2 linked regions of the Neurospora crassa OR74A genome follow. The protein of the gene in region 1 interacts with the protein of each later gene in a biochemical or structural test. Links are inferred from orthologs where the notes say so. Each region holds a gene or a part of one and is shown in the gene's direction. Other genes may lie near its edges. The genes, in order: apg-1 and atg-8.

The links.
Region 2: the proteins of apg-1 (region 1) and atg-8 form a complex in vitro, tested with the Saccharomyces cerevisiae proteins (3 studies listed by BioGRID, with this or other methods). The link is inferred for Neurospora crassa OR74A from reciprocal best matches to the Saccharomyces cerevisiae genes ATG1 and ATG8.

What each region holds. Positions count from the first base shown.
Region 1 is NC_026503.1:2,936,635-2,940,561, reverse strand, and holds the start of apg-1 (ATG1 protein), read left to right. Parts: upstream 1-1,366; 5' UTR 1,367-2,917; coding exon 2,918-3,049; intron 3,050-3,159; coding exon 3,160-3,927. UniProt on the Saccharomyces cerevisiae protein: Serine/threonine protein kinase involved in the cytoplasm to vacuole transport (Cvt) and found to be essential in autophagy, where it is required for the formation of autophagosomes.
Region 2 is NC_026502.1:3,123,601-3,126,848, forward strand, and holds atg-8 (autophagy protein 8), read left to right. Parts: upstream 1-1,074; 5' UTR 1,075-1,193; intron 1,194-1,312; 5' UTR 1,313-1,410; coding exon 1,411-1,500; intron 1,501-1,569; coding exon 1,570-1,787; intron 1,788-1,860; coding exon 1,861-1,918; 3' UTR 1,919-2,454; downstream 2,455-3,248.

The sequences.
Region 1 (3,927 bases):
TGATGTTCCATGGCTGCGAGGGGAGAAGGTCAATGGCTGGGATCGCTTCATGCAAGTCGCTCACGCCCGCATTCTGATGCAGCCTGTGGATCAACCAGGCGGGACTGCTGCCTGAGATTCTGGGTTCCGGTTGGCTAGTCATTATTACTCTTAGTAGTGTATACAACGCGCACAGTGGCCATGGATGGATGTGTGGTTGATTGCTTTTGGAGTGCCTGTGTCGTCAAAGATGATTAGACTTTGGTGATATTGTCATTGTTTGGAACAATGAGTAAATGAGTAATTCCAAGCCCCGTCTCGTCTAGAAGCAACCGAAGTCTTGAATCGAGGGTCCTTGCTGATGACTCTTTGGGAACACTACTACCGGGCAGCCGGGCTATTACCTTGTACGTATTCAGTTTGAAATGGAGACAGGTCGATATTAGCGACGGGTTGATGCTCGGGACTGAACATGTCCATCAATTGCGACTTTGTGCCAGTACGCTACGTGATTTTGCCTCGTGCTCGGTTCGGTGCCCGCAAAGACGCAAGACAAGCGGTAAATGACAGGAACAACAACATGACGCGTTTCGACATGGAGACTGACCGTTAAGAGATCCCATAACCGACAACGAAGAACCCACCCAGCTTTATAACCTAATTACGACTGCTTCCTTCCAACGTGTTCGGACAACAGGTTCCAATCATTTTCAAGATTTCCAGGCTGCCTATCCGTGGAGAAGCAAACCCGCCTCAAGGCTTCCAGGTTCGCAGCGAGGTCCAGTGTCACTCCAAGCGGTGATGTTATCAAGCTGCAAGTGCCTTATCACCACAGAAGGACAGGCCGTTTTAGGTAGCGTCGGGAGTTGGGGCCAATGGCGGGCCGGCAACGTGCAACTCCACTCGCAGCGTAACAGGGCCCTCGTACCGTCTGCGTACCCCGGGCCCACCTGACCCCTTCTGGAAAGGCGGAAGAGCTGGGCAGACGGCCTCGAATGCTACCGCAGGGTACCCACGAGCTACATTGACTGGTGCAGACCATGTCGAGGCATCATGACTCCAATGCACCTGCACGGACCAGTCCCCTTGCACATCATCACGAGCTCCAGGTGTAGTCACTCGCAAGTCGCTTGGGACGCTGCCCCCCTCTGCTGCCACCTGGATCTGGCTGATGCTGCCCTGCCCATCGAGGTTCCCGTCCCTCTTTTGCCGTCTCCTCTCGTCATTCACTCACTGCCATTAATCTCAACTTCCTCTCAAGAAGAGACTGAAGATAACGTCTTTGTCTTCCCCCCTTTGGGAATCACGCATATCAAAGTTTATAGTCTACCAACCTAATAAACCAAAGAACTGCGGGCAACGGCTCTTTCCCGTGCTCCGCTCCGGGCACAAATACCCTGGGTACCTACCTAGGTTGACGATTGTACAGCTCGCCCGCCCCCAGTCTTGTGTCTGTTACGTCGGTACCGCCTGGGTACCCGATACGGTACCTCACTTAGAGGTACTGGTGCGCTATCACTTATCGCTGTCCATCCAGCAGTCCACCCACTCCTTCCTGCGGCGTCCCTCGATCCGCATCACCCATCACCGCGACCGTCGACCACGGCCAACCGACCACCCAGACACTCCCACGACAGGACCACACCCATTCCCCCCCGTTGCGTCAGGTCCCCATCCACTCATCATCCGCAACATCTCCTACCAGCACCGCCCTTGGGCCCTTCAGAATTGCCTCCCTCGGCCGGCTCTACCGAACTACCTTTGCGTCTCTCTCCCCCCATCCCATATCGCCCGTTCATCTCTCCATCCTCCGAGTCAAGGTCACAGCTTCGGTCTCCCTCTCCGCTGTCTCCGGTCTCGCACCCTCAGGTTCCGATCGCCATCGGCGGGATCCATCGCGTCTTTGACATCTATCGCCATATACCACATCCATACACCCGACACCATACCAACTTTCGCCGCTTCCGCATGAACTGCCGTATGCCGGTCCGCCGACCATCGCGTCATCCTATTGCTCTCTCGACCCGTTTCTCATAGACGCTACCTAGTACAAATCCGCCATCCTATACAGATCAATCGCACAACTAGATATAACCCAGCCGCAACCCTCGCTGTTGTCGAACCGATTGATACGGACGAGGCCAGCCTGCGGCCGATCGGGTCTGAGTCATTGACTTGACGTAGGACGTCAGTCTGCCGCGGTGGAGGAAGAGCAGCTGTCAACAACCACGCTTCCGTACTGATAGCAGACGTCCAGGTACAACAGTGTCGGTGTCGGAGCTTGGACCCTATTCTACTGTGTCCTGAGCCTTCATCCGTCCGTCGTTTCCTCCATCAACCTCAGCTGCTCGACTGCCTGTTCGTTCTGCCGTTCTTCCGCTCTTTTTCGCATCGACGGTTCCATCAGCCACCCGTTCGGGCTCACCTAGGCATCCCGTCCTCTCCGACTCCTCCAGACTTTGAAACGATTGTACTGAGCTCGACCCCCCTTCGCACCTCCTCTTCCATCCCATACCACCGTATACTCTCTCTTGGCTCCACCCAGTCTCATCGTCGCCTGGCTGTCCATCTGCCATCCCCATCCAAGCCTGGCGCATGACAGATTCGAAGAACCATCAAGGTACTTCGTACTCGAACCTCTTCCCTCGACCACGCATTTGCCGTTTCATCTTTGGCTTCGACACATCCTCGACCTATCATCTCCACCTGCATCATTGCATAACCGAACGCAATCGGCCTTATTCATACAAACTTCTCTGCTTCTGCCTAGAGCTCCTCTTCATCATCCTCACCACCTCAACCCCGGATCGATAGCACCATACTATTTGGCGTATACATGCCTGCCAGACTTGAGGTTGACGTCTTCCGAATAGTTTAGTCCCTTGGGCTACCTACCTTTACACTGACTTCCCGTCATCAACACATACACCAGGAAGCCATGTCGGACCGAACGTCTGCTTCCTCGTCTTCGAGGAGGACGAAGCAGAACTACGATGCCATTGGATCCTTTGTCATTGACCAAGAGATAGGAAAAGGAAGCTTTGCAAAGGTTTATCTAGGTCGACATAAGGTTAGTGTACTCTGCAGCCTCACCCTGATCGATCTTTCAGCATCCCATTCGGCCTTGACCTCACATCCGTACCGTGATCTGGGCTGCTTGTTGACATATCGTGCCTACAGGTCACTGGCGCATTGGTTGCTGTCAAATCCGTTGAGCTCGCCCGCCTAAATAAGAAGCTGAAGGAAAACCTGTACGGGGAGATCCAAATTCTCAAGACCCTCCGACACCCTCATATTGTCGCGCTCCATGACTGCGTTGAATCCTCTACCCATATCAATCTGATCATGGAGTATTGCGAACTCGGTGACTTGTCGCTGTTCATCAAGAAGCGAGACAAGCTCATAACAAACCCCTATACGCACGACCTTGCGCGAAAGTACCCCGTCTATCCGAACGCCGGCTTGAATGAGGTAGTGACTCGCCACTTTCTGAAACAGTTGGCGAGCGCATTACAGTTTTTGCGCGCTGGGGATTTCGTTCATCGAGACGTCAAGCCCCAGAATCTTCTTCTGCTTCCCTCTCCTCATATGATGGCGAACAACAAGACGGCAAAACACATCATGAGTGGCAGCTATGACTCCTTTACGCCTGCTGCCGGCCTAGCCTCGGCCCCGATGCTGAAGCTTGCCGATTTTGGTTTCGCCCGTGTGCTGCCGTCGACATCCCTCGCCGAGACACTGTGCGGCTCTCCTCTTTACATGGCCCCAGAAATTTTGCGATATGAGAAGTACGATGCGAAGGCCGATTTGTGGTCTGTGGGCACGGTATTGTACGAAATGGTAACCGGAAGGCCGCCTTTCAAAGCCAGCAATCATGTGGAACTTTTGAGGAAAATCGAATCATCGGGCGATGTGATCAAGTTCACAAGGGAGAGTGTGGTTAGCCAA
Region 2 (3,248 bases), on another chromosome or scaffold:
CCAGTGGATGGACGGGGAACCGGACCCTGAGGAGCGAGATGTCCACTTTTGGTGCTGCACGCACTCCGGGAGCGACCGGAAAAGCCACCTAGGCGGACACCGAAAACGGTACCTGATAATAAACACACGGGCCCAGGTCCCATTGATGGCGGGGCAAATGGTCAGCTCCGATCGGACTTCAGTTGTAGGGAGGCCCGGGAGGAGCTCCAGGATAAAGCTTCATTGCCGATAGGAGACTACTTATCATGGATAAGATATACCAAATGCGAACAAGCGGAGAGAATGACGACTTCGCAGTGGTGACATCCATGACCTGGTCCTCCGTAGGTCTTTAATAGTGTAGAGGTACCTAGGTAGACGGCAGGCGAACAAAGCGGTCAACAAGCTGCCCGTGCAAGTTCGAGACGCTGGCCAAGGCGATGGAACCGTCCACGCCCTTCTTAGTAAAATGCGGTCTACACACGTTCAACGAACCGGGAAGCCAAAGGATCACGGCCACGAGGCTGCCCTTGGAACGGAAAGGAGGTTTACAATGCGCCCTTCTTCGGGCCATCCTTTTGTCTTGTCCATGTGCCGCTGATACAAGTGGAAGGTATCATCAACCTAGGACTTGGTAATGTGTACTACAGTAGTGTACATGGAACGAGAGATAGGAGGCGGATACGGACCTAGTGCTGCGTCATTGCTAGGTACATACCTCCACGCCGCCCCACTGATGGCCAAGAGGTACCGTTCAGGTACCGCTCCTAGCTGAGTGCCGGGCACGCCTTCGCCTTGAAATGCCCCTGGAATGCCACTGAAAAGGCAGTGACCTGTTAAGCTTGACCATGTGAGCGACGGCCAGTGACCCATCTGATTCACCGACTGGGAGCGAGCTAAGCCCAATCGAGGATCGACTCTCGCTTTAGTCATCTGGTCAGCCCCGCCTCCGCCTGCTGGTCACCCGCTTAGTGTTCAGGTTGTCCTGGCGTGCCCGTCCAGGGCCTTTGACCCGTGCTGCGCAGACAGGCGGGCAGGCGCCAACTGGACGCGGCCGATAGGCAACACTGCCTGGCAACCTACCTACTAACATACCTTACATCGATGGTCAAAGAGGTACATCAACCCTTCTTCCCCCTCTTCATCCTCTTGCCGTTTCTTACCTCTGACATCTCTCCCCAGCTTCCTCATTTCATCACACGCCAGTCATCAAGGTATGTTCTGCATTTCCAGCCGGCCAACACTGATTCTGCTCCTTGTGGAAGCCATCCATGGTCCATCTCCCTTTCAATAGCCGCTTCTTCCGACTAACACCGGATTCCGTCTATCGCAGACATCGTCTTATCCATCCATCGTATCCACGCTTGTAGTCAATCTCAAAGCCAAACACCTATCACCGCATCTTCCACATTATCAACCCAAACCGCCAAAATGAGATCCAAGTTCAAGGACGAGCACCCCTTCGAGAAGCGCAAGGCTGAGGCCGAGCGTATTCGCCAAAAGTACTCCGACCGTATTCCCGTAAGCATCCCCCATCCGGACGATCCCGCAGTCACCGCCCTTATCCCTAACTAACACATGTCGCCACAGGTTATCTGCGAAAAGGTCGAGAAGAGTGATATCGCTACCATCGATAAGAAGAAGTACCTCGTACCGGCGGACCTCACCGTGGGCCAGTTCGTTTACGTCATCCGCAAGCGCATCAAGCTGTCGCCCGAGAAGGCCATCTTCATCTTCGTAGATGAGGTCCTTCCTCCAACCGCTGCTCTCATGAGCAGCATCTACGAGGAGCACAAGGATGAGGATGGGTACGTGGCAGCCTCCATCCCCCATCATTTTTTTTTCCAACTGTAACCCAGACTAACGTGACTACTACCACAGTTTCCTCTACATCACATACTCGGGCGAGAACACCTTCGGCGACTTCGAGACTGCGTAATCATATCCTCTCTATCGTTTTGCTTTAGACGTTGTGGGCGTTTTGGGATTCATACACGATTACTGGATCAATGAGCGGGTTGGTGGGCTGTGCATCATGTTGTTTCTGCTGGGTTTATATCCTTAGGGTCACGTTGGCTGAAGAGGGGGAGGGCTTGCTACGACAGAAGGGACGATGGGACTGTGCTGTTGGGGTCTGGACTTAGGTGCCACCTGCAGCCGTATGAAAGTGAAGTCCCCTTTACTTTGCTTCCCGGTGTGCTTTGGTCTAGAGACAGCATCATTTGCCGTTGGATTGCCCGGTTCACAAATCAATGTTACCCTCATTCTCTATGCCCTTTTTCACCACGCCGGTGACTTACATCCCTTGTTGAACCCCTCCGAACATGAACCTTGGATACATGGCCGCAATGGAGGCACATCACGAGGACGGTAGTTCCATACGTGGATATCACGAGGAAGCACGTAGCTTATAGAATATACGATAGGTATTACACGTATCCTAGCTGGGTATCGTTACACTGGTTGTCATGGTTGATGGTCTCTGTGTATAATGACGCTTGGTTAAATCCATTGTGTGTTGAGCTAACTGTTGGTCTTCCCAGTTCTTCTGAACCGATTTGATGAAATCACGGAGGACTCCTACGACAGTGTCGCCGTCGGTACAAACTCGCCAAACTCGTATATCCGATTCTGGCAGTCTTAGACCAACTTCATGCTTCGCCAATACAAGAAAGATGTGCCGACTACTTGGCATTGCATAGGTCTGCAGCCTAACCTCCAGGGGCAACTCCCAAGACACTCAAAGTAACCTGCCTCGGCGCATGACTGACACGTTTTCATCAACTTCCTCTGTCCTCTACAAAATTAACTTCACATCGCTGTTCAAACATTACATCAAATTTGATAGTTATATTGTCTTCTACTATAACCAGTCATCACAAAACTTCGTCTGATCATGATCATGTGGGGTCAAAACAATGGGCTGTGGCTGCAGCAATAACTGAAACAACAAAGGGCTATACGTGCGGGATGAGTGAGAAAGTTGAAAGACAAACAATGAATGGTTAACGATGCTGATTGCTACAAGTTCATCCATAGTGAATATCAGTTGTAGGGGTGTGAGTGTGAGTGGCAGGATCGAACGCACAATTGAAAGGGAATTGTGGGTGTCCAAGTGATAGAAGTAGAGAAAAGAAGGGAAAAAGAAAATCAGTGACATCATGGAGATAAGAGACACGGAGTAGACTATTCTACACCTTTATTCGGTAGAAGCCTTAAACGCAAGAAATGAATAAATGAGCTGTATTATGTTTACCTGCATCACTTTT